Drosophila melanogaster: one gene and its partners. The protein of the gene in region 1 interacts with the protein of each later gene in a pairwise test. Each region holds a gene or a part of one and is shown on either strand. Other genes may lie near its edges.

What was found.
Region 2: the proteins of CG10559 (region 1) and CG1690 interact in a two-hybrid assay, tested with the Drosophila melanogaster proteins (one large-scale study listed by BioGRID).
Region 3: the proteins of CG10559 (region 1) and CG13427 interact in a two-hybrid assay, tested with the Drosophila melanogaster proteins (one large-scale study listed by BioGRID).
Region 4: the proteins of CG10559 (region 1) and gb interact in a two-hybrid assay, tested with the Drosophila melanogaster proteins (one large-scale study listed by BioGRID).

Annotation. Positions count from the first base shown.
Region 1 is NT_033777.3:25,312,334-25,319,672, forward strand, and holds CG10559 (uncharacterized protein), read right to left. Parts: upstream 3,784-7,339; 5' UTR 3,772-3,783; coding exon 3,582-3,771; intron 3,526-3,581; coding exon 3,035-3,525; intron 2,968-3,034; coding exon 2,595-2,967; intron 2,530-2,594; coding exon 2,336-2,529; 3' UTR 2,161-2,335; downstream 1-2,160. Other genes in the region: CG31087 (uncharacterized protein), read right to left, coding at 1-41, 113-320; CG10553 (uncharacterized protein), read right to left, coding at 4,288-4,472, 4,532-4,898, 4,960-5,444, 5,534-5,741; CG10560 (uncharacterized protein), read right to left, coding at 6,294-6,478, 6,542-6,908, 6,972-7,339.
Region 2 is NT_033778.4:9,754,507-9,762,241, reverse strand, and holds CG1690 (uncharacterized protein), read left to right. Parts: upstream 1-4,173; 5' UTR 4,174-4,372; coding exon 4,373-4,427; intron 4,428-4,495; coding exon 4,496-4,839; 3' UTR 4,840-5,949; downstream 5,950-7,735. Other genes in the region: trpl (transient receptor potential-like), read right to left, coding at 1-200, 254-626, 688-830, 2,228-2,465, 6,059-6,204, 6,483-6,512.
Region 3 is NT_033778.4:20,536,603-20,542,580, reverse strand, and holds CG13427 (uncharacterized protein), read left to right. Parts: upstream 1-3,264; 5' UTR 3,265-3,315; coding exon 3,316-3,633; 3' UTR 3,634-3,704; downstream 3,705-5,978. Other genes in the region: CG13428 (uncharacterized protein), read left to right, coding at 2,180-2,275, 2,331-2,360, 2,542-2,616, 2,768-2,836, 2,905-2,979; CG13423 (uncharacterized protein), read right to left, coding at 4,401-5,288, 5,350-5,892.
Region 4 is NT_033777.3:27,105,538-27,115,232, reverse strand, and holds gb (genderblind), read left to right. Parts: upstream 1-2,962; 5' UTR 2,963-3,513; coding exon 3,514-3,962; intron 3,963-4,199; exon of another isoform or gene 4,200-4,585; coding exon 4,586-5,099; exon of another isoform or gene 5,100-5,350; coding exon 5,351-5,551; exon of another isoform or gene 5,552-5,632; coding exon 5,633-5,782; exon of another isoform or gene 5,783-5,904; intron 5,905-5,928; coding exon 5,929-6,106; intron 6,107-6,174; coding exon 6,175-6,236; 3' UTR 6,237-6,766; downstream 6,767-9,695. Other genes in the region: CG6066 (uncharacterized protein), read left to right, coding at 1-2; CG5815 (uncharacterized protein), read right to left, coding at 601-689, 747-959, 1,022-2,402, 2,543-2,605; CAH9 (carbonic anhydrase 9), read left to right, coding at 9,110-9,164.

The DNA of each region.
Region 1 (7,339 bases):
CTGTGCCTTCAGAACGAAGGAAAGATCCTTGGTGCTGTGGTCTGCAAACAATATTTATGCGATATAATTATTTGCATCCTATATGCATCTATAAGTATAGATCCGCACTCACCAATCAGTTCCACTTCCACCAGCAAACGAAGGAACTGTGTAGAATAATTATCGCCATCACTGCTGCCCTTTTGTGGGATTACCGAGATGATTTTCTCAAAGTCTCCGATCTGGGCCTGAACAGCCTTCTCCAGAGAGATTTTCGACAGCCAAGATGGAAGATTATTGGCTGGCACCTCATTGTGTCCATTGGTGGTGGCCTCAGACATGATGAATCTGCCATAAAATTAATTTAAAATAGCATTAGTGTCGTGCTGATAACAACGAATAAAATTCTTTAACTTCACTGTTAGCATGGCTAACAGGTCGTATACGAAATGATTGTTCGACAACATCAAGCATAGGTGGCGCCACTCTTCCGTTTTTGCCAAAGGCGCGGAATATTTGAATAATAAAATCCGTTCTGCTTTTGGCCCAGCCCATTCAATAAGGAACGTCTCAAGATTTGTGTATTTTTAGAGAATTATATCAAATGTGCCGACAAATTGAGTATCTTGAAATTGAGTCTAATGCGTCGGCGGAAAATTATCATAACGGACACTAATTGGTACAGTAAAATAAAAAAATGAAATAACCTTAAGTGCAATAACTTTTGAATGATTTCCCATGAAGTTATCTCTGCAAAAGTCATTATTACCCCAATATGTGGCACTTCTTTTATTCCACACTTGGAAAAGTCAGTAAGCATATGACTCAAGCTAATACTTAGAAGTGCTAATGCCACTCTCAAGTGTTTTCTTCGATACTTGAGAAGAGTTGCTGCACTACCTGATATTTTTATATTTTTTTTAAGTGTATAAGACTAGAAAACTTGTAATACTAATAATTCCGTGGGAAATGCATCATTGTGAAGATAAAACTTTATCGAAGTACATAGTTGGAGAAACGTGATTTGACGATTTGTGGTCATTCCATTACGGGTAATTACCGAACTTTGGTGGGGCTTTTATTGATTAGGCAATTATCAGAATTATCGCAAATTAATGAGCAAAAATCGTAAATCAGGTCACATGCCACCGAATGAAACACTTGTTATAAGTTTGGAGTACATTACGAAACACAATTCGGGGAATCCTACCTAATCGAACTGAAATGATAGTTTTGATTTTTGAACAATTTTCAATGCACTTTCTTAGCTTATAAGCTAATTTCACTCTTAGTCGCTCTTTCCACCACAAGAAAAGTTTGAATACTAGATGTTAGTCCCATCTGAACTATGTTTTTATAGCACTATTGGGGGTTGGTCAAAACTGGCGGGTCGGATCCCTAGATTCGGTGAATGGCCCAATGCGAAAACACATACAGCGGTGGCAAACCTTTTTCCTTAATTGGTAAACGGAGCGCACTGATAGATCGACTGCAATCCGGCCAACTGTCGAGTGGGAAATACGAGTGGTTGTGCTCGGGAACAGCGGTATTGCCCCGATTTGGGTATGGGCCAAGAAATTCCTTATCGCATGCATTCGATTGAAGTTTTTTTTTTTGTAATTCAGTTCGCCAAAACCGGCAAAAGAGTGGCAATTGGCGTTGGCGAGAGTGGGTGCGCGATAGCGTGCCCGAGCGAGAGGTGTGTGATATATGATATAGAGACGCAAACACCGTCAATTGTTTGATTGATAACGAAAACAGTTTCTTGTTCCCGCTCCTGATTCGACTTCCATATCGGGATCGGGCACCCGAGTTCCTCTTTGCGCTCGCCATTCGCTCTAATTATTTCGTGATTCCTCATTAATTGGTGTTTTTGGGCGTGACATGTGATGGGTAGATAGACAGTTCACCATCGGTTTCCGCACGAGCACCACGCACTCAATAAACAATTATTTGAATATTATTAATCCTACAAAATGCTGGTCTATATGGGTACCAAACGGCATTTTGATTATCTTTGATTGTGCTTTAATGGGGCAGTTATGTTTTGTTTTATTATTAGGCCTGGCTAGTACAAAGCGGCTAGAAGTTAAATATATTTTCACATACTCATCATTTAAAAACAAAAGTGTGCTTATGAGATTATGTTTACCATCCGTCTAATGAGAAACTTCTATACTTCACTGAATAATCATTGCTCAGTTACAAGCATATTTTATTCTTAAAATTCGTGCATTAGTATTTTATTGAAAGCAGTACATTTTATATGTCATGGTATTACAAATTTTCTTTCCCAGAGAACGTTAGGAATCACTTTAGCAATAGTATTCTTTATATATATATAATGTATAGCGAACTAGCACTGGAAGGCCCCTCGATTGTTCAACCATTTGAGAATGGCGCTAACGTGCTTCTTATATCGGGCATTGGAGTACATAGCCAACTTTAGACCATCGCCATTATCCGTCTCGGTGACGAAATCGGTCAGATTTGCATCTTCAGTCCGATCGAGCAGCACTGGTGGGCAGAGAATAAAAGCAATGTGATACCCTACGATTGGAAAAGAAATCAGAACTTGGTTATCTACAGCTTTGCAGAGCGAGGTTTCCACTTACCAACTCGTCCATATTTCAATAGCTGAGTATGGAGGAACCCCAACGTGGGGGTTTTTGCTTCGGGGTAGTTCAGCATTCTCAAGTGCTCGACCAGGTGATCGTGGTAGTACTTGATGAAGTAATCGAACTGACTCAATTGGATTTCGAATTTCGTCGAGCCCAGGAGGAAATAGATCAGATCATATGCCACGCTCGTGACCTTGGGCAGTTGGAGATCCACGAAATATGTCTCGATCGGTTCGGGCGACTCGTCCTCGTACTTAAACATGATGTTGCTGGTCCAGCAATCTCCATGATTCAGAGCATTGAAGTCCTGCGGATCGGGCGTGTTCATAGCATACATAAGGTCGACGATTTTAGGTTGCATCTTGTGCTGTACAAATAGATTATTTTGTGATGAACCGTGCAACCAATTGGTGCATATAGCTAAAGAAACATACAACCGCCGCACTGTACTCCTCGTAACCCTCGTAGAGTGGCAGGCACTTGAGGAAATACTTGCCCAAGGTTTCAGCCACCTGTTCGATGCTCTCCTTCATGGTATCGGCGTACGTGGGTTGCAAGTAGTTCTGGGGGTACGGACCCTTGAGATGGATCCTGGTGGCCGATACCGCATGCCACTGGGCCATCTTCTTTAGAACACACTTGGTGTGAACCATGTCTAGGCCCTCCAGGCGATCGACGTTCCTGAAACCCAAAGGACCCAGATCCTGCAGAAGTACGTAATCATCGGGCGCGTCGATTTCATAAGCCTTGGCCCCAAACTTGACCTCCACGCCCACATCCTTGTACATCTGTTCCAGCTCGGGAATCACCTGAATGAACACATCCCTCTCCACAGCAAACATGTTGTTCTTCCTCAGAATCTCGCGATACATCTCGAAATCATAGGGAGTCTTCAGCATATAGCTCACATTTTCGATTGTGTGATCTGATGATGGAAATTTCTGCTTGACTTTCCATTGTTCACCTGTGACTCACACTCACCCTGCAGTTCGACTTCAAGCTTGAGGCGCAGCATAATTGTGGAGTAGTTTTCTCCCGGCTTGAGCCCGGCTTCCGGCTTGAAACTTTTGATTCCGGCATAATTGCCGCCGTAACGTTTACTTAGCAATTCTTCGAATAGATTTGCTCTCAGCCAGGTGGGCATAGGCGCTGTTCCTGTCTCAGCCGTCATTCTAAGCAAACTAAGAGTTTATTTGCCGGCTGGTCCCGTACAAACATGTGAGCAAAACTTTTTTTCTCTGTATCTTTGTTTGCTACCAAAACAAATGCCAATACGAAAGCTCCAAAAGCTTGTCGGAAAACAAAGAGAGTGCTGGATATGGAGAGTTCTCAAAACAACTTGTTTTCAAAGTCTCGAGTGATACATACATATAGACCAAAACAAACGTGGGGGGATGCATTTATACCCATATAGAAGCTTGTCTGTCATATAAGTGTAAGTATTTAAAGACAATAAAAATAATTGTATGACCATAAAAAAAAATGCTTATAACTATACTTATAGTTATATTTACCTATATGTAAACTCCGGAACAAGTTTTTTATTAACCACAATGTTTGTTAAACACTAGTTAGGTCTTTATTAGATATTACACAATATGCTACTTCTACTATACTGTATATATAAACCTTGAGTGTAATTTTTTCGTTATACGCCATACGATTTAATATTGTGCATTCTAAGTATCTATTCCATAGCTCCGCGATGCTGAAGCCATGGCAATAGAACCTCCATATGTTTGCGAAATCTGGGATTAATGTATAGCGAGTTCTTAAAGCTACAGTCGTCATCACCAAGAACCTTATCAAAATCGGCTCCGTCCACGGGATCCAGGAGGACATATGCCAATATAGTTGCGGTGCAGATGAACGCTGAAATGTTTTTTTTTATAAGATCTGAACTAATGATTAAGTAACGATTGAAAACTTACACCATCCACTGTATTTGTTGAGAGCGTCGTTAATTCTTCTTAAAGTGGGAAGAGTTTTCGAATATCCAAGCAATTTCAGATGCTTTACCAATTCGGAGTGGTAAAACCATATGAAGTAATCAAACTTTGATGTTTTTATGTCCAAGCTTGTAGAGGACAAAAGAAAGTAGTATAGATCCTGGGTCACTGATCCCCACTTAGGGACTTGCAGATCGACAAAGTAGGTATCCTGTATCTCGCCTTTCGTATTGTACTGGGACATAATGTTGTTGGCCCAACCATCGCCATGGTTTAACGCAATAAATTCATCAGGACTCGGATTGTTGAGGCTCTCCACAATTTCGAATGTCTTGCCGGAGACAATGCGCTGTAATTAATGATAAGATAGAAGACTTGAAGATACGAATATCAAAAGATAAATTACCCACCAGATCATTTAGATAAGTTTCGTAACCCTTGCACAGATGGACGTTATCCAGAAAAACTTTTATGCTCCGATTAATAAAGGCATCTACGATTTCCTCGTTCCTTAAAAAACCCTTTGTGTACTTCTCCTGATAAGGACCCTTTGTTTCTACGCGAACGGCAGAGGCCGCATGCCATTGGGCAAATTTCTTGAGAACACATTCGGTGTGAGCCTGGTCCATGCCTTCGAGGCGATCTATGTTCCCGAATCCACGTGGCCGAAGATCCTCCAGCAGGACGTAGTAGTCGCTGGCCTCTATGTCGTAGAGTTCAGCTCCAAATTTGACCTCCAATCCCACATCGCGATACAGTTGCTCCAGCTCGGGCACTACTTCCACATACATTCCTCGCTCCACATCGAAGATATCTGTCTTCTCGATTACTTTACGATACTGCTCTGACTGATGGGGAGTTTTAAGCATAAATGCCTTGGTTGTTTGAGTGTTATCTGCAAGGTTTACAATAATTGAAAGATAATTTCAGTTCAAATACGCTGATACCCTAATTCATTAGTCCTATAGAATGAATTTAACGAACCTTCTTTCTCAACATCCAGTTCAATTCTAAGCATTACGGTGGCATAGTTTTCGCCAGCAGCGACTCCTGCATTTGCCCTCATGGATTTCGTTGCTTTGTAATCCTTGACAATCCTTTTAAGCAGCTCCTCAAAGACTGTTGGCTTAACCCAATCCGGAATGGTGACCTGTTTTTGGCTAACATCCTCATCCTTTGTCTGGGGATGCATCTTGTAATAAGCTGTTTCAGTTCAGCGCACTTACTGCAAGCTTAGAGCACTCAGCGAATGTCTTAAATACTCTAGGGAGAAATAAATCTACATGTGAGCGATAAGCATTACCTCTTACCTAACAATCAGTCAACTGTTTTATATTAATTTAGTTTGTGAGAAGTGACTGTGCTCGAAAGGTGCGTCCGGAAATTTTAAAACAATCCCTCACCCCACAGAGTAGATTATCATAGTGACATCGCAGTTTCTGCGATATTGGCTCAATATAATATATCTTAATCCAAAGTAACTCTAAAGTGTTTAGATGATGTATTTGGGAAGATAACAGGCGCATTTCCAGCATACAATTTTCTATTATTCTATTTGGAAAACAAACGTATGGACAGGAAAAAATCTTTCGCCTTTCCATTCTGAAAATTAGGGTGGCCCTTTTCTCATATCACCTTATAATTACAATCCGATATTCAACATCAATATTTTGTATCGTTTAATTTATTTCTAAGTAAAAATGATATCTGCAAATAGACTAATTTTAAGAGATCATTTGATATTTTACTCCAAGGCACCACGATGCTGCAGCCAAGGTAAGACAACTTTCATATGCCTGCGGTATCTGGGATTGGTGTAGATGGAATTCGTAAAGTTTGAATGCTCGTTCGAAATGATCTTATCGAAATCAGCATCATCTGTGGGGTCCAGCAGAACGACTCCCATGACGGATATAGAGCAAATGAAGGCTACAATAAGATAATACGTATAAGAAGATATTATAATGGTCTTAACTATTATAACTAACTTACCCCATCCACTGTACTTGTTAAGAGCATTGCGAATGCTTCTTAAAGTTGGCAGTTTCTTAGAGTAGTTCAGAAGTTTGAGGTGTTTCACCAACTCTGAGTGGTAGAACCAGACGAAATAGTCGAATTTCTCCGTTTTAATGTCCAGGCTGGTCGATGAAAGCAAGAAATAATACAAATCCTGCGCAACTGATCCCCACTTCGGCAGTTGAAGATCCACAAAGTAGGTATTTGATATCTCGTTTTTGTCGTTGTACTGGAACATAATGTTGTTAGACCAACCATCGCCATGGTTGAGGGCATTGAACTCGTCGGATTTTGGTTCCTTAATATCATTATATATATCGAATAACTTTTCTGAAACACTTTGCTGTAGTCAGAGAAATGTTTGGATTAGAAATGCACCTATATATACAAACACAAGTTAACTTACCAAATCCTTTATGTAAGCTGCATGTCCATCGTACTGATCGATATTATTTAGCAAAATTTTAGCGCTGCGATCGCAGAAAAAGTTCATGATTTCTTTCGATTTGAAAAAACCATTGGTATACTTTTCTTCGTAAGGGCCCTTGAGGTCCACGCGAACTGCAGAAGCCGCATGCCATTGGGCGAACTTTCTCAGGACACTTTCGGTGTGAGCTTGGTCCAAGCCCTGCAGGCGGTCTACATTCTTGAATCCTCGAGGCCTGAGATCCTCCAGTAGAACATAGTTCTCGCTCACCTTTATTTCGTAGGCCTCAGCCCCAAACTTTACCTCCAAGCCCACATCCCGGTACATTTGCTCCAGCTCGGGAACCA
Region 2 (7,735 bases), on another chromosome or scaffold:
AATTTCATAAAGGGCTTGCGCATCAACTGGCCCGTCCGGCAATTCGGGGCGCACATGTAGATGAGGCAGTAGAGCGGGAAGAGCACGGCCACCTGGGCGATGCAGATGACTTTGTCCACAATGCTCTTGCGCCGGAATCCGGGGAGGCCGTCATACCAAATCGAGGACAGTAATTGCTGAATATTCGAGTGCGCAACGAACTATCGCAGGAAATGGAGAATTTTAGCAGCAGAACCACGTCGGAGAAACATACCTTTTTTTGCTTGTAGGAAATTGCCTGCACCAGGCGGGTCAGGCTCATCCGGTCGCCGGGCTCATAGCTCGACATCTGCGGATCGTAGTTCAGGATGATGGCCAGCTCGTTGGAGGTGCGCGTCTGATCCAGCAGATCCACGGCGAACTTCTGGCACTGCCTTCGCAGGTCCATGTACTCTGACTTGCACTCCTGCTCGGTGAGGGCCAGGTTCCTCAGTTCCCAGGACAACTGGAAGGCCGTGATGATGGGGTCGTTGGAGGTTAGGCAGATCAGCGATGGACTGCACAGAGCCCGGTAGATGTTCACCCGGGAGAGGGAGTGCCTCAGAGAGTCCTCCGCGGTCAGGCGGACGCACTCCTCACAACCGCAACTATATTTAATAATGTGATTAATAATGGGATATGGGACCCATGTTAGATGTACCAGCTCACCGTATATCATGTGGCACTGGCACCGCTGCTCCGCGATCCAACAGAATGCGAAGTATCTCAAAGTTGTTCTTGTGGGCGGCCAGCATCAGAGGCGTGATATCCGGCGCAAACATAGCCGTGTTTATGTCTACTTTTTGCCAACTCTGTGGAAAGAAAAAATATATTCACTTCAATATATATAATAATTCAATGCTAAAAAAGTATTGCCTACAATATCCAGTAAGCAACTTGATATCAGATGTGCGTTGCACGCAACATTTTATAAAAAATATTACTTTCAATGAAGTCAAATAATCATGAAAGATTTTATTCAGTAAGCAACTTGATATTACTTGTTCGTTACACGTAACATTTAATTAATAAGTAAGCATACAATTAGTGAAATAATCGGGAATTACTTTAATCAGCACGAAAATCGATTTTAGACCTTTCTACACGTTACATTTTTAAAAAAAAAATTTACATTTATTGTAAAGCACATAAAGTTATTGTAGAAATCGGAATTCCACTTAATACACTTGTCTACTGCCTCACATGACTGAACTACATTTTGTCAATCTCGGTGGCTGTTCCTCCAAAATATCCTAAACTTATTCCAGGAACTGCTCAATGGCCCACTCGAAGAGGGCCGTCTTCATCGTTTTGTGGATGTTATTAAGCCTGTTAAACGTTTTATTGCATATGCGATACAATAGTAATTTTCACGCTCCAACAGCGCCCAATGGCTGCCTAATGAAGCGTGCCTGTGTGCATAAATATGAGGCCGACGGAGCCCAGACGACTTTATTTGCAATAAGCGTAAACCGTATCCTGTCCTCTGTTCTCCGTATGCCGGAGAGGTCCTCAATGTACTGGATTTTGAGGGGATGTGGACGGATGTGGGCGAATGTGGGCGAATGTGGATGGATGTGGTTGGATGTGGGGGTTCTTGGTCGTTGGCCGCTTATCGCACACTCCCAATCACTCGAGAGTCGAGATCCTGCGAGTACGTGCCCAATGGCGAAGATGATCCCGATGGGTGGGCCACTCCGGCCACTCCAAGCATACCATCCATCCAAACGCCCCACGCTCCTCGCACGGAAACTGATTAAAATCGTGTTAGCTTCAACTTACAGGGCCTCAACGCCTACGGACGATAATGTGGGCTACAAATTAGCTGAGCACAGCAGACAAAACAAAGGATACACTGCGAAAAAAAGTTCCAAACGTAGATAAAGGACCTAAACCCCCATTGTGAATAATGTGTATCTCAGTGAATTAAAACTATCAAATTATAAATATAATATCTTTAAGTAAATGGTAAACTGTTATCTAATTTTTACCCTATATCTGAACTGTTGCTCAAAATAAAATATTTGTTTGAAGAAAAAACAGCAACGGCTATAAACAAATAACACCACTGCCAAATTATTGTAGAATGATCTTAATAAAAGTATCTTTAGCTACTAAAACTCTTGCTTCGTTCTTTGTTCTTTTGTACTGCTTTAATTAAATGGTATAGTAGCATTCGATTTCTCCAGGTGTCTGTGTAATGACTTACGTAGGGCTCGCCCTCCTTGTAGATAAGCTCCTCGTGCTCGAGCAGGAGCTCCACAGCCTCGACAAACTCCGCATTGATGGCGTGCAGTAGGGCGTCCTTGGTCTCCACCCCCATGACGACGAGCAGCTCTACCATCTCCAGGTTCTCGTTGTCTATCGCTAGGGTGAGGGCCCGACGGCCCAATGGGTCCATGCAGTTGATGTTGATGTGCTGATGGCGCAGCGCCTTCTGCAGGATCCTGCAATTATTTGAATTTACTTAATAAAGAGGGTGGCATTGCTGCTAATTGGGGCTAGGCGCCCACCGAAGGGTCCACAATAACTTTTCTTTTCTTCTCCTGTGCACAGATTTCCGATGCCCCAAGAATTCCCGATGTCAAGTCAAAAGTTGGAGTCCAAGTTTCTAATTACATCGCGGCCGCAGCCTTCAAACAAACTTTCCCAATCAATTGGGCGCCGAAAAAGGGACTAATATCAAATTTTTATTTATTTATTTTTTTTTTTTTGTGTTTTACGTTACCGCGTCATTCTTAAATGTCGTGAAATTATTTGGCCACCCTCGTGTACGTGGAAATTGCCAAGGACTTAAGATTGTAAAGATTTATAGGTTTATTTTAATTTGATGTCTTAGTAAGCGTTTATATTTTTGGTTTTTCCAGGGCTGAAATTGTTGTATTTGAAACAGCTGAATAAGATGTGGGATACGTTATCAACGTTAAGTTGGTCATTTTATTTAAAGTATAATTGTCAAATGCGTTTTTGCTAAGAAGTCTTGTAATTATTTTGATTTCTGTAGACTTATTGACATTAGACATTTGGGATTTTTAAACCATAGTTTTTTTAATGTGCCTGAGAAAAGTGTGCAGTATCGCCGCTGTTTGTTTGCAGAAAATTCTGTTTATTTCTTTTCCCTGTCTTTTTAAGTGAATTTCAGTCGTGGCATCTTTAATGCTTCAACTTACTACGGTGAAAATTCCTTTGGTCGATGCATTTTTAGCGGCCAGGTCCACGAGATTACATGAAATGTGGTGGTCCAATCCAATTTTTATTAGCCTTTCTGTTATCTTAAACAGAACGCTTATGAGACATATACATAGGTAAAAAGCTTGAAACCACTGAAGGGTATGCTTTTTTTGGGTATCGGGACAGCTTTGATCTCTGGTTTGAGCTGATAACCATATTCTGTTAAGCAGATTAAATAGATCCGCTTTTATATTGTTTTATATTGTCATTGCGCGAGTCTGGCTTTCTGTTTGCTAGATAGATTAGAAAGTCCATTCATTCAAATGGATTTCGAGTATGTAGAAACAATACAGTTATTGGGTCGGGTGATATTGCTTTAGTGGATTGAGTGTTTTTCAACATTTTTAGGAATTCATCTTCTTCTGGAGCCCATGCGTTGCAAGTTCGTTTAATCTGTTTGTATTTTTTTTTTTTAATTTTTGATGCTGTCTTAGATTTAAAGGCTTTTGGAAATTTCTTCTACAAAGGTCTGGAAAATTGATATTTTTTTGTTTCTTATGAAATTTTGAAGAGTCTTTTCAGCTGCTAAGGTCTTACGTGCATCTTCATACCTTTTGGTACAATCAAATTTCTGCCTCGCTGCGTTTCGAAGTCGGAGTAATTTTTCTTCTTCTGAGCACCATCACTTTTTTGGTTCGTATTTGTTTGGTCCTGCGATTTTAATTGTGTTTGCACCGGTTATGTAGTCCAATGATTGTTTAATGGAGTCTAAGCTTGAAAAATGTACACTTTCAAAGGCAGAAGATTTTTTTTTTTATGTTGTGAAATTTGTATTTATCTTATTAATAATAACTTCAATCGAGAAGTGATTGCTGTTAAAAATTTTGGACTTGGAGGAGCTCCACGAAATATATCAAATTTTCCAACACTGCAGTGTACATTGCCTGGCAATTAATCGAAATCTAGTTATCCTGGCGTTGATGTGTCAAAACTAGTTTTCACCTGCCAGTGTTTAAGGCCAAAAATCTTTGATTTTACGAACGTTCGTCAACATAAATTGTTGTACTAAATTCAAAGAAACTAAATCCGCTTCCAAGACGCGATTACAGTGATTGCACACTACACCCAATATTAGGCGATTAAATTATTTGTACGCTCCAACGATTAAAAAACTCAATACCCAATGGATGCCGCCGAGGGTCAAAGCTTGGTGATCAAAATGGCGCAAAAGAACAAGGGTGAGCCAATAGCCAAGTGTGTTCTCGGAAGATTCGTGTAGGAAAAGTATGTTCGTTAAATCTTGTAGAGACCCAGACTGTGAAGCTGGTGCCCGGAGGCGGTCTGGTCAACAACTGGTTTGCCCCGGCTACGTATGGGCCAGCAGGGATTCCATTTGGGGCTAGTCCCATGATCCCACCGCCGCCCGTTCCGAATCACAGCGTATCGTGCCAGTTTTACATGGACCGGGAGGAGCAGCTGTACCGCCGCGCCTGCCAGATGAAGGGCATCCGGGTGGAGCGGGTCTCTGAGATCCGCGAGGAGGAGGACGACTCGAACGGCTCCGAGGAGGAGCCTTCGAAGGGCATCCGCTACCGCTACACCCTGGACGAGATGAAAAGCTTCAACCCATACCGTTTTATCAACTTTTAAATGTTCCCAAAACGTCCCAAATAGCCGTCATAGACGTCATAGCCGTCACACTTTCACTTTTACCCACATCGCACCGTCAGCACCTCAATATTCAAGTTGATTTAAGATCCATAACTAGGTCTAGCTTCGCCACCCTACCCACATAAGATGTCAGCTTATAGGTTTATCTTGCATGCCTAAAAATCGCAAGGAGCATCACACGAAGAACAGGAACCCAGGACACTGCCCATTTGCTTGTTGTTGCCGTATTTCCATGTAGACTCAAGATCCAAGACTAGCACTAACTTCGCCACTACTTCCACAATTTCACATTAGATGCAAGATTATATGGACATCGTGCATGCCTCCAAAGCGTATTGGGAATCACAAATGAAACAGGAACCCCGGACACGGCTCATTTGCTTGTTGTTACCGTATCACTCGCCCGATGAAAACAATAAAGAATTGTTCATAAATGACATCCTGGGATGTCAACAAAAAGTAAGGTTTAGTTGTGCTTTCAGGTAAGGGAACTTAAGTTATCCGAAAAGTTGCTTTTCAATAAGATTCGTTTCTCGAATTGATTGTGCATGTTAACAGCTTTAAGTGGCAACCGAAAAGTATTTGGATAATTTGGCTTATCTCTTATTCATTGCCAGCAAACGGAATTAATCGTACATTTGTTAAAGCAAAGCCGTAAACGAGCGTAAAGTATCCGGGTCGAAGGCCTCATATTGCTTATTAAGTGGCTGCCGGGATGCCAGTTAGGTAACCATTTTGAGGCCCGCGGCAGACGAGTGTGCAAATAATTGAACCCACCACCAGCACCGCATCCAAAGAACCCAAGGAGGCTCCCGATGGGATTTATGGTACCTGTGCGACCCAGCCCAGTCAACACCTGTGTTACCCTGGGCGAAGCCACCATTGGAGCTCGTGATACCCCTCTAAAAATGTCAGGGTTTTTATTCGAACACCCTACACTCGGATAAATGTGGTAGTGTGTTTAACTATTTCTTTTAAATTGAAGGCTAAATATATCAATATACATTAGGTTCTACTCGATTGATACATTCATTAGCTAAGCTTGTACATTAACTTTGAATACTAATGCTCATCCAACACCTGATTGTGGTAAGAGTTTCTTGCAGTGTATCCCTCCCGCCCAAGATGCCATACAGAAACACCACCCACCCCCCCCCCCTCCCTGCTGGGCATCGGAGGCGTGAAAAGCGCTACTCACCTGCGCACATTCGGCATATCGCCGCGCTCGACAGCCAGCAGGAACTTCTTCTCCTCGAGCAGCAGAGGCTGTGGTAATCCCAGCGGCACACAGCACCCGCCCACCGATTTGGGGGCGGAGGAGGCGTGGCTGACGCCAGACGATACCTGGCATAATTTAAAGAGACAGGTGAGCAGGAGCCACATACGTACATGCCGATGTGGCGAGGGGGAAATCGTGTATGCGGAATTGCAAATAAATAAAAAATAAACATACAAGAAAATTAAGTGCAAAGTGGAGGATGCTGGGCTGATTGTCTGGCTTCCATCTAAATGGCATTGGAGGCGTTTAAGGTAAGCGGCGTTTAGCTAATACTGGCGGCTTTAAGACATGCTACTTGCTGGATACGGATCTGGATCGGGATCCTGGATGGGTTTCTACTTACGCCCGTCGGCAGCTTCTTTTTGCGACCCATTCTAGAGTTAGTGCACTTCACTTAACCGAACGCCAGCAGTTCGTAACTAGTATTCCATGTACCAAGTCCAGGGTTCAGAGTTCAAAATCCGACTTCATGTCGCAGGGCTTTGCACACTTGCAGTGAAAAGTGAACGATATTTACATATATGGCATATATATTTATATACACAATGGCAAAGCCAAAAAAGTCCAATACTAAGCCGGGCCACATGCAACTTTCAAGTTGATTTTGCTTTTGTACTCATAGTTGTATAGTCCATAGTTATATGTCCAACTGGGTGTGCTTGTGTGTGTTGGTGTGTGTGTGTGTGTGTCTGGTGGTTTTTGACTTGGTTTATGGTTTCTGGTTTCCGGCGTGCAAAAAGTTTCTATTTAAGCTGTTTATAATGTTTTTCTTTTTATTTCCGCCACTGACCGAGCTGGCTAAACCCTTTTTAAGTGCCATCTGCATGGGCAAGATTTAAGTTTTGCCAATTTAGTGAGTTGATTAGACACTGTGCAGTTTCACTGTTTCCCGACTGTTACTGGTCAATTCCAAAGGCCACACTGAACACCAAATTCGCGAGCACTTATTGCACCACTTATGACCAATTGTTCAATCGGCTTTCTGTTTTGATTTACATTTTTATTGCACTCATCTCATTAGCAACGAACTGCAGTTTGTATTAGTTGTTGCTGCTCTCATTGGATTGTTCACATCATCGCCAATCGTTTCTCCCATTAGAATTAATTTCTTTGTTTCCCAATATTTTCCCACACCCGATGAAAATATTTTTATTTTCCGCTGCCTTCCTCCGCATGTGTGAACACAATGCCAAAATGAATATTTAAGGAGCTTTTTTCGATAATCCGCAAAGAAAAAATGCATTCCGTCTACATGCTTTTGCTTTAAACTGGCTTTATGCTCCTGCGGATGCGGATCTGCATGCGGATATGGATGCGGATGCTGCAGATGCATTTAAAAGTGTTTGGGCTGGTCATAAAAAATGCAAGTGCTTTGTATGCGCGGCAGGCAAAAACTCGGAACCATCATCATGGCGGTTGTTCCATAAAAAACACTTCCGGTACCAACAAAAGGTGGTTCTGACTACCCCAGGAGCCCCGATGGTGCATTGTTTAATTAACTTAATAGAAATATAAGTGCGGAGGACGGGCGAAAATGCGGACGGACATAAAAATGTCGCAATAAATTCGGTTTTATCCGCCACTTCATGGGAAGCG
Region 3 (5,978 bases), on another chromosome or scaffold:
AATCGCGATGACAGCTGACAGCGAGGCGAAGAAGCTGCTGCTCAAAATCAAATTAGAGCAAATGCGAAGTACTTGAAGGAAATGCGCTGCAAGCACAGGAAACCGGAAGAGGGAAGAACAAGAGCAGCGCCAGAAGAAGTGGGTTGCAGGGGGAGGGGGTGTGGTGGGTGAGCAGAGGGGTCACCCGCAGGCGGAGGCAAAAGGTAAAATCAAATAACAAAACCTGATTGAATTGAAACTGAGGTAAGCTGCCGAGCGAACTGATTTATTGATTTTCAAGCAGAATTTTCAGCTTGGCTTTGCAAATTGAATAAAGTGAAATTTTAGGCGCCTCTATTTCTCCCTGCACTCAATATTGTTCAATATGTACATACATACATATAGTAGTATAGTTTTCCCTCGCTGTCACACACTTGTAACTTGAGTGCGACAAATCGCATTTACTTGGCTTGTTCTGCTTTAATAAATATATTGGTTTACAGCTAATTTTAAATTGTTTAAAATGAGCATTTTCACTTTGGGTACTTTTGAACATTTGAACATCAAGAATGGAAATAGTGTTTTTATGAACTTTTTGATCGCTTTCATATGCATTTTGTGAGATCTGGTTGCTTTAGGCGCATCAAACATTTTATTTACAGCAAATTTACGCATTTTGGACTTTCGAACGTGGCATTTTTTATGTTTTTCGTATTTTTGTCGTTTGTTGTTTGCGTTTGGCGTTGAGTAGCGGAAATAGTAAAAGTTTTCTAATGAGAAAAGTTTCCTCACAGACAAAGAGAGGAAGCGCCGGCGACAGAGACAGAAATATTTCGAGGGAGTGAGATGGCGGGCGTGCGAGAGGGAGAGAGCAAACAGAAGTGCTGCAGGAGAAACAGAGATGGAACGACATCCTTGTTCATGGTGTATTTAATCAGTCGCCTTGTCGCTGCTGTTTCTGTCTCCGTCTCACACTCAAAAAATATTTTACTAAATTTTGAAATTAGAAAAAAATTCCAACTATAGACCGGAAAATAATTTAAACTATTATATCATTCGAAATGTATAGGATTTTTCAAATATTTATGGTTACCTCTTAAAATCGGGTATTAAGCGACCAGTAAAAGTGTCATAACTTCCATTCCTGTTTTCTATGAGTGCACTCCTTTTTCTTCCTTCGAAGGATGTGCGAGTGTTCACATCAAAAACTAAACACGTCAAAGTAAGCAACGGAAATGAGAAAAAAGTGCGCTTATTTATTTTTATACTTTCTTTTCGACCCAACCCCCTCGCTTCCCCACCACCCCCTGTTGACAGTTTTTTGCGTTTTCGCCTGCACTTCTGTTTGACTTGACGAAGGAGCGAGCGAGAGGGAGGCGGAGTGGGACAAGGACAGCGAGATCCCAGCGGCGACATCAAAGCGCGTTATAATTCCGAATTATGCAAAGCTTAGCAAACGTGGACGCATTGTGGCGTTTACAAGCGGAAATAATGAAAAATAGCGCGAGACGCGGCATCATTTGTCGCCTTCGCGTGGGCGAAAATATGGGGGCGTGGCCAAGCGGAAGCGGCAGCAGATTGTTGCATAACGTTGTAACGGCAACAATACCGGAACACGGAGATTGCAGCTGTAAACCGAATTCGCTGTAACACCTTGACTACTTGGAATTTAAAGGCTGCACTGTGAAAAACATGCAACAGTTTCAGATGACAAATCCACCACAAAAACATTGATTTCAATTAATTGAAAGATACTTCAATTGAAGACACTTAAAACCATTGCTCAATTTTGAATTTAAAATTAATAAGTTATATTATTACATTTTATTTTGCAATATATTTTATATTTGCTCTCTGACTTCTCTCAGTCGAATAGAATTATTTGATCATGCTATCATTTGAAGTTTTCAACTCAAGCGGCAACTTTGTCTGTTTCGCGATGTATCTACAAGATGCATCTTGGCCAATAATTATTTAATACGCTATTAACGTGTTTTTGTCTATCGCCTGCCATGTATCGGCCACAACTTTACAAGATTCTGGATAGCGTTTTTAACAAGGCAATTAAATGCTGCACCCAGTGGATTTATGGGGTATATAAAGAAGTCGAACTTGGAGCAAACGTACAGCAAAAGCCAAACGAATTGTACGGGTCATTTTCAACCATTTTAGTGAGCCGTAAGAACGTGACAGCTCGGAAATGAAGCTACTCTGCGTTGTTTTGGTTATTTACGTTGTGGCTCTGACCCTCTTCGGAGTCGATGGACGTGGTGGGGGCACCACAAATGGAGTGGAGGTAGGATTCGGTGGTTTAGTGACCTATCAACGGGCTTAATCGTCTCTCCTTGCAGGAACCAAAGTTCGTCGGTTTGTTCAGGCGGGTGAGTACACAAAGAATGGGTCAAACTGAAGGCCAGTGATTGCTAAGACTATTGGCCCTACAAACGAAACTAAAGGCGCCAGAACAGATGAAGCAACTAGATGCCCAGGAGGCAGTGCACTGGCGGCGCATTCACAATTTAGCACTCCTAATGCAAAATTATGTTAAATGCCTACTTCTAGGCAAGGCGCCATGTCCCCGCAATGAAAACCGCCCTTCTTCACGGCAACGAACCGCCTCCACCTCCGAAATTCCGAGTAAGAACTTAGTAAAATGTAGAAAACTAGAACATTTATATAAGCAATTGTGTTGCGGCCGTATATCGAAGGGCCTTTCTGTTACTTTATTTTTAATTGGCAAATTAATATTGATATATATATTAATACATAATTTGCGAAATATTTCCAGTCCCGTCGTGATACATTGGAGGACAAGCTCGTGGCCAATGATGATCCTCCACCACCGCCGCAGTTCAGAGTAAGCACAGTCCGCTGTTCAAAATAAGTGGAGTGATCCTTAACCCATTACTATTCCTCCATCCTCAGCAACGTCGTCAGGCTCCACCTGGAATGCCACCACCGCCGGACGGCCTTCCACCACCACCCCAGTTCCTTCTCTAAAGTAATGTAAAGCATAAAGTTGGGCGTTTGTGCATGTATTTGGGAACCACATCGAAGCTAATAAAAGTAGTTTGAAGCATTCCAAAAATGACCACACCCGAATTTCCTTAAGCCATTAACCATAAACCATAGAGGGTAATTTTCTGGGAAATTCAACGGGCTAATCACCTTGTGCAGCTGCTCTCGGGATAATGGGCCATAATCCTGTGACAGGTAGAGAAGAAAACCTGTTCTACCTGCACCATCTATTGCTCCTATTTAAGGTGAGTCTGTGCTCTTCGGAAATCAGTTTACATTTGCCAACAGATCATACAACACGCACACACACCTTTCGAGATGAAGTTCGTGGCCATTCTTCTGCTGAGCAGCCTCACCATTGCGATGGTTTTGGCATTTCCTGATAACGACGATAAAAATGTTCTTGTGCCAGCTGATATGCAGCATGTTGCTCCACTGGCCGCAGCAGCAGATCCCCCGACGTCGGCAGACCAAGTCTCTAACAGCATACGCGGTCCACGCCATCTCCTGAGCAAATTGTTCCAGCCCAAGACCGTGGTGGTGCAGCCAGTGATTGTGGAGCAGGTGGCTCCAAGACAGTACCCCGGATACGCACAGCCCTATCCGTACTACAACCAGGGCCGACGCTACTGGTAGACCGTATTTTAAGCAGCTATTTGTAACCGAATTTAATAAAATAAAGACGCCTGGCCTTTAAGTCAAAGATTAATTTTGTTGTTCTTTATTTTGTGCGATGGCAAATTCCTTAGAGTAGCAAATCCCTTAAGTTGAAAACAGTCGCCGTTTTGCTGGCCGCGCCAACAACTCTTGTCGAGAACTCCCTAATGCCTAATTAGTCATGCCGGGCACGTAGGAGCGATTCCCGAAAAACTTAGTGAAGGTCGCGCCTCGGTGACGATGACAACAACTGCCACAAAGGACACAACGTTGCGGGATATTTAAATAATTTTATGCAAGCGATTGGCGGCTGGCACAAGAGTTCGCAGGAAACTCAAAAATGGGACACTTTAAACGAGAGTGTAGTCAATTGTTCACTACTTACTAAAACTATTTTCAACAAACAACAAAACTCAATCGTGCTGACTGTTTTTATACTCGTAGTTACACGTAGAGTAAAAGGGTAAAAGGGAAGAAGAAAGCGTTTTCGACCATATCAAGTATTCATGATCACGATCGATAGATCTTAGGTACTATAAAAGCTAGAAAGTTGAAATTAAGCAGCGCAAGTTTATTTCACGTTGCCACGCCCACAGTTCGGAAAAATACTTGAAATTTGTCATTGTTGTTGAACTTTCTTCTTGAATTGAATGAATGGATTTAGTTTTTATCTATTCAAGAAGGCAAATAAAATGTAGTAAATGTATTTCTTATGAAAGATTTTTTTTTTGGTTCTAAACAATTTTTTAATTAAGTAATGCGCCCATGGGATCCCAAGCAGGCAGTTCTTTCCATTTATGTATCCTTGCGGCATGTAAAACACCCGATGGGACAAATTTTTCGTGGACTACAATCTCAAAAGCGTACTCCCTTAACCATTCGGCGTCCAATTTGTTATCCGGTGGTTTGACCGACTTCTTTCTTAATGCCTTCGTAACCTTTTCGTCCACATCGTGTTCATTAAGACCTCCGGTGGCGGGAGACTCGCCAATTGTAGAAGCATTTATGAAGCGAAACTGTACGGGCTGTTTCAAGGTGTCCAATCCAACGGATGTAAGGAGCAGGGCTGCATCCCGTCGGGATGCTCTGTAGTCAAGTCTCTCTGCTTTGGTGAGCGACTCGCCCACTTTAAAGCCAAATAGCAAATCAAATTGATGCGATCTCAGGCTTAATGGACCGGACTTCAAACTGATTGCTCTACGAATATCGCAGGCCATCCAAACGGGTTTATCACCTTCCAGAGAAGTCACCATGATCTGCATTATGATGTCCATTGATTGGTTATTATACCTATGAGGTTTTCCGCCCATCATATTCGAGCTGTTGGCAACCTGATAGTTGCTATGGTAGCTGGATGAGATTCGCGGATCGTGACCCAGACAGACAAAGGCGTCTAGATTCACCGTACAGCCTACCATAACTTCGTAGAAATGGACCGCTGTCATATCATTCAGGCACTGGTAACGCTTTTTGTGGTCGTAGAAGGACCAGGTGAAAACCTTGGGAGGTTCACCAAGGCAGATGCATATTACTTTGAAGAGATGCGGAATCATTTCTTGAATGAGATCGGGGAGACGGCAGCCATTCCCATTAAAGGTGAACTGAGCATGCAGCATGCTGGCATATTCACGTAGCTTTAGGTGAAGGAAATATATACATATGTATATAATATTCAGTACAATACAAAATACCAACCTTACTCTTCAGTATGAGGTTCATTTTTGTAGTTCGCTGAGTGGAGTGGAGGTAGCATTTCTTGGGCATAACTCCGTATTTTTTGACCAGATTAACGAACATTTGCCAGTTGCCTCCATCTGGCACTGGGTTCTTAATTAAATTCCGAAAGCAGCGCCCATCCAGCGGTTCGCAACGCATTAGAAGATCGGCGACCGTCCACAGGAAGTAGTTGCATCGCTCCAACTTGTGCCAGAAAAACAAATGTGCGGCGGAGAGTTCAAAGTCCAGTGGAAGCGGCAACTTTCTGTCCATCTCCTGGCACAGCAGGTCCAGGCCCGTGCATATCCATCCCGGACCACCGGTAGTGGCCTTGCCCTGCCTGCTCAACTCTATCCAGGTTTTCACACCTGACGGAACGGAGCATAAGTCCGCCTCGGATCGCAGGCATACAGTGATGGGATCTTGAGCGGTGCACACATTCTGGGCCAGACGATTCATCGAAGACGCGTAAAAGGCGGAGTACCAGGCGGACCACTGCGGTTCGGTCAACAAAAAGCTCATTTTCGTATCTTGACGAGTGATCTTATTCCGAATATCTCAAGTGGTTGACATTAGAAAGCGCAGGAATAGACACTATAAATTTAGAC
Region 4 (9,695 bases), 1.8 Mb from region 1:
AAATCCTAAAGGATATTGTCTTCAAAATGGATTTACCATAAATGGCAAACGCACATCAGGATTTCAATTCAACGAATGTCGAAACTTCATGATTGTTTTAATTTTTGTATTTGTATAAAAAAAATAAACGACAATTGTAAGTTAAAGAGCTTCTTAGAGTAACTTAATAACTTTAATAAACGCAAGAAAGTTTTCATTTTCCATTATTTATAATAATTTTCCAAATGTTCCTATGGCAGCTACACGATGTAGTCGTCCGCACACAAAATTATATATTGTTTACATATGTACTTGTACATATACCAAATATGAGCCCGCTATAATCATTGTGGCATTAACCATGGATATTCGACTAAAATATGATATAAAAATAAGCTATTTTCAGCAAACCAATCTTCATCAGAATTCGCTTCTTCCTGTGCACTTCTCTGGTTTTCCTGTTCTCCTTTCCGTCAATCTACTCTGCATTTCATCTTATTGCATCGTAATACAACAAAAACTAATGAGTGGGCTTAAATTTTCGTTGCTAAGCCCAAGAGATAAATCAGGTGTACACTTTACATGGCGACGGATTAGCCCACGTCGAGATGAAATACCGTCCTAGGAGCGTGAGCTGATTTTCGCCACGAGCTTCTTTTGTTTCTTGTGCGCCGCCTCCATGCGCATGTCCTCGAGATCCTCTTGCATTCCTGCGAATATATAATCATTATTATGGGTTTTTATTGGTCATGCGGTTTGCTACGAACCCAGCTTCTTGCTGATGAACTCCTCGCGCTGCACTTGTGCAAAACTGGATTCCATGCCACGATCGTCGTCGTCTATTCCTTGATAACGACGCTTATCATACCCGAAAATGTCGCGGATGTGAGAAGATATATCCTCCTCACAGTCGCCATCATCTATGAAGTCATCCAGCTCAGAATCGTATTCATCCTCATCATCGTCGTCGTAAATGCGTCCTTTAAAAATAGAACAAAATATGAAATCTAAAATCATTTTTAATATCAAACTTGGTATTTACTTTTGGTGACTGGCGGCTCGTTAGGTTTTCGTCTCTTGACATCTGCGGGCGGGAATTGCCGCCCGCCCTGTGATCTCTGAACATCCGATGAAGGAGTCTGTCGCGTCTTTGCAGCTGCCGGAATTTTTCGGCGATCCAAGGTTGAGATGCTTGACTGATCCCTAGGTGGAAACTCCCTTACAGTTCCCTTTAGGGAAGTAGCTGCATAGGGGTTCTTGGATGGGACATCCCTGCTAGAGCTGGAGCTCGGTTTTCCAACCGCCGATGCAGTTGCGCCAGGTCTGGCAGTCAATTGAGCTGATTTAGTAGCGGGCCTTGAGCTCGAGACAGAACTGCGACTGGCGGAGGAATGGGAATTGGAACTGGATAAACTGGTGGAGCTCGCGCTGCTTTTCGTTGGCTGTGGGGCAGTTGGTTTTTTAAAACTATCACTTGGTGCATTGGCTGGCTTGGCTTGATTAAGCTTGGGGATGCGTCCGTTAGGCTCCATGCGATTGGGGATGGATTTCGGAGTCTCCTTGCCTTCACTTTCGCGCATCTTGAGACGCTGGGCGCGCTGCTCCTGTTGCCGCTGGCGCTCTTCCAACTCGCGTTTCTCACGGGCCGACAACAAACGCTCTGGTTCCTTTTTTTTCTCCACCTCAAAAACCACGGGCTCGTGCTGTTTCTTTTCAGCTAAGCGAAGCAAGGCTTGGAAGTCCATGGGCGGCGGCTGAGCAGGTCGTTTTATCTTCGCCCGGCGCTGCTCCTCCTCCTGCCGCTTTTTGCGCTCCTCCTCGAGCTTCTCTGCGTTCGGATCATAAAGAGTCTTGGAGGTACTGTAAGAACGGGCCACGGAGGACTCCTTCGACTTGGTAGCGCTGGATGGGAGTGTGCTTGTGCTGCTTTTCTGACGTGTGTTACCCTTGGCCTCCTCTCGTTCCCTGGTAATGGCCGCCTTCACGCGCTCCTTGGTCCCAGAGAGATCTTTTAGCGACTGTGGCCTGCTGGGCGTGAATCCCTTGTCTTCCTGTACATCGCGTACCTTTTCAATGTACTTATCGTAAAAGGCATTCGCTTCAGTGGACACGTAGCCGTAGTCATCGCCCTGACCCTCGCCCGCCTCGTGGCCGTCGATGGCCCCCTCGTAGTCTTTGGCATCCTCCAGCACTGATTTGTTGGCCGATTTGGTTACCTTTAGCATTTTACGTATCTTGTTCTTGGACTTTTCGTCTCTTTTGGCGAGCAGATCGTTGAGTTTCTGGCGCTCCAGCCGTTTCTTTTCCGCCTCCTCGGCCTCCTTCTTTTGGAGAAACTTCTGGATGTTGCTGGACAGCTGCTTGGACTCCTTGGACTGCTTCTTGGGGGGCGAATACTTGGTGCTGTAGTATTTCCCCTGCCCCTGGCGATAGAGGAGAAAAATTACAATGATCAGATCGAATATAAATTATTTTGGGTCACAAAGGGAATGCAGGCGCAACCGCGTTTTCCAAGCATAAAATCTCACGCGATGGACGAACTGGACATCTGCATGATACCCACCACCTCCTTGGTGACCGCATCACTATTTTTTTTCGCGTAGCGCAGCAGGTCCCCAAAATCCATTTTGTGATCTGTATTTCTCTGTCGATTTGCTTTTAGCTCATCTATTTGGATACTGATATCGATTGGCGATAGGCGATAGACGTGGTCTACTTTTCGTTTCGATAAGAAATCAGAGGAGAGCACGTGAGAGCACGTACGCTCACGCAGTAATTGTATATTAATTCTCGTTAATATTTCAATATATGGAATGTATAAAATTCAGTTTTCAATTTCATTTTACCCTTATGTACGGGACCGACAGCGGGAAAGTCGGCGGGGCCATATTGTATATATATTATTTTTGAATAAAAAATTGCACCCTGTAGCTCGCAAGAAAAACACCCCAGCATCAATTGATATTCTACAGTCAGCCGGGCGCTGGTCACACTGCTGCGATGCTCGAGAAAACGTGGGGTTGAAAAACCTTTGAGCAACGTTGTGCCAATTCCACAATTAAACCGCAGAGTTTGCACAATTTGGCGGTTACACCTCGATGTCTGCCCTTATTTACCAGACCCATTAACCGAATTCCGCGAGACAGAGTGTGAATTGTTCTTTTAAATCGCGAGTTTTATGTGCGATAGACTCAACTGCAGGGTGTGTTGCTGGTGCGAGCGAGACGGCAGCTAGCGAAGAGCCGACCAAAACAAACTAACGCTAGCCGGCGGAAAAGGAAGAAGAGGAAGAGCAGGAGTAGATAAGCCAAATACAATACAATTGAAAAACACATTAAGAAATATACACACACGCACATATGTACACGGAGTCACACCCACGAACACACTTGCCTCGTTTAATCAATTAACGGGACAACGGCCAAAGAAACAGTTACAGTTCGCTTTCAGACGTCGCGTGCGAAGATTGTGTCACAGAGCAGCGGGATAATAATACCATAGCCCTAGGACATAATACGTACATATATAGCCGCCATGCCCGCCGCCGATGAACTGCAGTCGCCGTCCAGCGAAATGGTCCTGCTGACCCCCAGCTCCGGCAATCCTCCCTCCAGCATTGCCCAACCAGCGGCTAATCCTGCCGAGAAAGCTCAGTGTCGCGAGGGATCCGCCGAGTCAGACAGCAGCAGGGTTGTGATCAAGAAGCAGCTGGGCCTCCTCGAAGGAGTGGCCATCATCCTGGGCATCATCTTCGGATCCGGTATCTTTGTTTCTCCGAAAGGCGTCATCCGGGAGGTGGAGTCCGTGGGCGCTTCGCTGGTCATCTGGGTTCTCTGCGGACTGCTGTCCATGATTGGTGCTCTTTGCTACGCGGAACTTGGTACTGCCATACCAAAATCTGGGGGGGATTACGCGTATATCTTCGAGGCCTACGGATCACTGCCGGCTTTCCTGTATCTCTGGGATGCCATGATGATATTCGTGTGAGTCTTACTGGTCAATATTGTTTTAATATTCGCGAATATTTCGCCGTTAAAGTTCCCTTATCACAGTTGGTTCGAAAAACATAAATACAGTATCAAATTCCTTTCGGTAATTGATTTCGAATTACTTTATTATCGCCAGAAGGAACCCATTAGAGTAAAAGTAATAGCTGACATTTTTTTTTCTTTTTTGCGTTTTTACGTTTTTTTTAACGAAATAACATATGTATGTAGATTGAATGAAGTGAAGTAGTCCTACAGAATCTGATTTTTAGACTGGGTCAAGTTTAATAACTTCTCAGATAAGACTAGAAGAATGGAATACTTCGGATTGGTGTGGATGCATCCGGTTTTTCAAGGTTAAGCCATGGGTTGTGTATTAGAGCATTAGAAAGTGAAACGAGCCTTATCATTTAATCTGCGCTATATAAGTTTATTTATTGAACAGTTCCGCGAGTTCTGCATTGAGCGTTTTATTGCCTGCTATATTTGTTGTTTAGGATCGGCGATAAGCGAAAATATCTGCTTTTCTACTTTTGCATGCGGACATTATCAGCAGGACATATGTCTGAATGCAGTCTGCAAAAAAATTTCCACTGATTGTGTGCTCTTATCTCTGACAGACCAACGACCAATGCCATTATGGGCCTGACCTTTGCCTCCTACGTGCTGGAACCCTTCTTCGGCGGAGCCTGTGAGATTCCCAAAATAGCGTTACAGCTCCTGGCAGCCATCACCATCTGCTTCCTAACCTACCTGAATTCGTACTACATGAAGGTGACCACCAAGATGCAAAACGTCATCATGTTCACCAAGATCGCCGCCCTGGTCTTGATCATCCTGGTAGGCCTGGTCTGGATGATGATGGGCAACGTGGAGAACTTCACGAGACCCTTTGATAACACTGAGACTGATCCCGGCAAGATGTCGGTAGCCTTTTACTCCGGTATCTTTTCCTATGCCGGATGGAATTACTTGAACTTCATGACGGAGGAGCTCCGCGATCCATATCGCAACCTGCCGCGCGCCATTTACATCTCCCTACCTCTGGTCACCGGCATTTATGTGCTGGCCAATGTGGCTTATCTGGCCGTGCTGTCGCCCTCGGAGATGATCGCATCCAATGCCATCGCTGTGGTAAGAGTTTATCCACGATTTGCAGTCCGATCAGATTAGGCAGTCAAATTACTAATTTACTTAAAAGCTTAAAATCTGTTAGTTATCAAGCATAATGCAAGCCCTATAATGTCCGACTTTGTCTATTTGTAGCTTAAATTCGCAAAATTGCGATAGACTGCTGGGAATTTTAATTTATTTGATCGGAATCGCAAAAGTCAATTAAACCAGTGGATTTTCAAATGATTTTAATTGATCACTTCTCTTCACAGACCTTTGGCGATAAGATTCTCGGCGTGTTTTCACTGATCATACCCCTCATGGTGGCCATATCTGCTTTTGGCGGCCTTTCCGTCCACATCATGACCTCCTCCCGCATCTGCTTCGTGGGTGCCCGCAATGGACACATGCCGGCGATTCTGTCGCACATCAGCGTAAAGAGCTACACCCCACTGCCGTCGCTCGTTTTTCTGGTGAGCTGCGCTCCTCAATTAGCGCACAAATGATATTATGTAATTAATCCCTAATTGATTTGACTGTGTCCCTCTCGGCAGTGCTTTCTCTCCATTGTGATGCTGGTGGTGAGCGATGTGTATGTGCTGATCACCTACGCCAGCATTGTGGAATCGTTCTTTATAATGTTGTCGGTGTCGGCGGTTCTATATTTCCGCTACACCCGTCCCTGCATGGAGCGGCCAATTAAAGTGAGTTTAGCGTAATCAGTATTGCCAATGTAGACGTTCTACAGCCAACGAAATCTTTGTACTGACAAAAATTTAAATACTTTGATTATGTCTTTGAGCCTAACAGTTTAGCAAGACTATTCTAACTATATTTGTTCCTGGCACAGGTCGCCATGTGGATTCCCGCCCTATTCGTCATCGTGTGCGCATTCTTAGTTGTCGTGCCCATCTATGTGGCGCCCTATGAGGTCGGAATGGGGGTATTAATCACCATAATTGGCATACCTTTCTACTACGTGGGCGTCGTGTGGAAGAATAAGCCGAAATGGGTGCAGAGCACGATTGGTGAGTAGCCCTTCACATTAACCCCAATGTGTGGCATTGTCCGACATTTATATGGTTTTCCTTTGTAGACTCGGTGACCTTCACTTGCCAGAAGCTCTTCATGTCCGCCAAAGAGGAGAAGGAGGACTAAACTGCCATCGAAATGAAATGGAATCATTTTTCAAAACGATCTAGCTATTTGGCCCTCCAAATAACTACCTATTAAATCTCTATATTGATGTGAAAGCTTGAGAACGAGAAAGCTTGGCTCGTTAAACCTGAATACCAAAAAACGAAAATACCTAAAAAAGCGGAAAACATGACCTGTACATCACAAGGACTGGAGAACGAAGTCAATACTATCATATTTCTATATTTATATTTATAAACCATGACAAAAACTTTTACCTAAAGTGCAAATTCTTCGAATAGTAGTTTAGTATTGAGTTCTAGTTTAGCATTTATTTTGCACTCATTAAATTCGAAATCTAAACCAAAGTAAGCCAAAACTGTTTGCCAAAGGTGCGATATTCAGGTCGATATTTGCCATATAAAGCAGTTTCATATAATCTTCTGTTGCTTATTGTTTAAAAATTCGGTTATTGTTTTTGTCCCTCATTTTACTACCTAAGTGCATTGCATTGCAGTTTGTAATAAAGATTTTTGTACGTTTCATCGACGAACCGCTTTGAATTCAATCTTTTAGGCGCCCCTCGCGAAAGTATGCCACAAGATTTTAGCGAATGATAAAGCAAAACAATTGATAAGGTTGAATTGATTGAGCATTGCGTGGGATGTAAGCCCATGCCTTCGCTAATCAATTAGGGCTGATAAGTAATGGGTCTATTTTAAGCCATTCTCGACGGACGACAAGTCGCGATTTTTGGCCAAAAATAAATCGCCTCCTGTCGCCCCCATTGACATTTTGGACACTCGGAGGCTTGTGGAATGACGCCAACTCTATATTCGATCACTGATAGAGTATTCCGTGCGGATCCATTCTACCGTCTAGGTGTTTTTAATTGATAAAACTGGTGCGCTTATCTGGGATTCTCAGCACGGTTTGCAGGTGCGCCCGTCTATGCGAAATCTGGGCGAGAGTAGTGGGCTGATTTGTATGCACCGTATTCGGCGTCTCGTTTAATGTCTTTTTAAGTATTTATATGCGAGGAGTGAGTATGTCTAGTTACCAGATCGCTCGTAAAATTGCCTCAATCGGATTTGATGTTTTTCATTATGGCCAAATAATTGAGTTATTGCGACTCGAGGAGCATCTCAAGTGCGTTGGGAGGCTCCCCGAATCGTGGTTGTAAGTGCTTTATTACTAATATTAGCAGTTAGATGATTGCTATCTCACAAGATAGACAATAGTTTGCTAAAAGGTTGCTAATTGCCGGCACGTGAGTGCCGCCTCAAAAGAAGCCACCTTTCGGTCTTGACGAACGAACTATTCCACATTTGTTGATCGATGCTGATAGTTGGCTAAGTGATCGATATAGAGGCGTAATCTAGTAAATATTGATTTATTCTGCTTGGCGTTTGCATAAGCAATTGCATGTTAGATTAAATGGAAATGTCTCAAATGCTGGGGAGTTCCTTTTGAGCCAAGCTAAGCTGCTCATGTGATAATCATGCGATTATACCCCAACAAATATTGACACCTTTTGGGCCATGATTTGGGGTCTTCTTCACAATCGTGTCCAAACACTTAAATTAGCAGCTAGAAAATCAATAAGCCGAACAGACCGAATAGAACCGGTAACTGAATCATTTGCGAAACAATTGAAATTGTATTATTCAAATAGAAATTCTTAGGAACTATAGTTTACATACAATTGGTAGTTAAAGAATATCCCTCTCTCTTAAAATTATCATCGTAGGGTTTTTTTTATGTTACTTAACATAATTTAATTTTAAAATAATTTATACGCATCGTTTCACAATTAAGAAGTAACAACTTTTCCATCACCACTTTCAACCAGTTTTTTTATGACGGGACTCTGACAACTAAAATCCCACTCTAAACCTTGGCATTCAAAGTGTCTGGCCTATGATATCTGAACAATTCAATTGCAAATATCCGACTTCGTGTGACTACTCAATGGACACCATAAATTTATAAATAGATATCAGACTGCCCTCTATACAAAATATATATGCAATTTATAAACTCCGTCATTCCTACATGTGGATCACGAACTGCCCATACAAGTGTAATATCGACATTCTGTAACGCATGAAAAAACAACTCAGATCTGGGCATAATAAACCGAAAACGCTCCAATTCGTAAAGCCGAAACTTGCAAAACGTGCGAAAATCGCTCAATGAATATCCCACCATCCACATCGCTCGCAATCGATCGGTTGGATTTTTTTGAGGACTCCGCTCTTAATTAGCGACTTTCGGCGTGACGTTGTCGCGACTTGTTGGCTTAGTAACGCGAAGTGACTATCCGAAAGCAAACAAATAAATCGGGCAAATTGTATGCAAAACAAAATATTATCGTAAATGATCGAGGGCGGCATTAGGTGCGAATTATGACGAGTTTTACCCTTTTGATTTTGGCCAGCATTGATCGACATAATGACGCCCTTCTGGGCTTGGCGGTTCGATTGAGTTTCCGTGACGTTAAGCATACGCCGTGTTGGCTGTGCGTTAAGCATACGCAGGGTGGTGCTACACTTGTGTATATGGTAACTAAATTTCGCTAAGTGGGTGACTTAGTGGGGTGGTTTGCACTATGTACCGATCCTCCAGTACCCCGCCGTATTCCCATCGATCGATCGATCGTCGGCTGTTCGCGCGACTCTTTTGCACTGGTGTGTGTATCTGTGTGAGCGGTGCACGCGCTTCGGGCGGGGATTTCAGCTTTCGAATTTTCAAGTAGTTCGTTGACTGCCCGCTGAGGAAGTTGTGAAGGTGCTCCGCGAGCGAAACGTCCGCGCAGTCTAGAATCCGTCACCCGATCGGAAGGTGCTATAGCCGCTCGTCAGGAGTTAAGAACTTGGAAGAACGGAACCAACATGAAACTGACCGCTTTCCTCGAGGCTTCGTTTCTGCTAATCTGCTGGTCTCAAGGTAAATGCACATCCATTTCTACGAAGTCCTGTGACTCATCCGTGTTTGTCAGGGTCCAAGCTGTGCAGTTAGATATAGTGAACCGAAACAAAAATAGCCATAAATTGATAACTATTCGTGGGAAATACTTTTATTCAAGAATTAATGGTTTGTCATACAACCGGCAGGTGTGCACTGAGAAAAGTGGGTTACCACTCATACCGATTTTTATTTTCTGATGAAATTAAATAGTTATTCTGATTATTGAATAATTTGTTTTATATAATTAATCATGTTTAATATTCTTCCATTCGAAACGCGTGTGACACACTGCTCGTGTCTATTACGAAATGTCAATACCTGATATTGGTGGGATCTTGGCATTAGCAGTCATAAGTACACACTTCACGAAGCTAATTTTGACCAGCTTAATGGTGTTCAAACCACTCGAAACTGTCAATTAATACACTTTATTGGCCGCCGGTTGATTTAGACTTATTGCCGGACTTGAAGTGGTTGAGGTTTCTGCTTTTGGCCAGGCATTAGCACTTC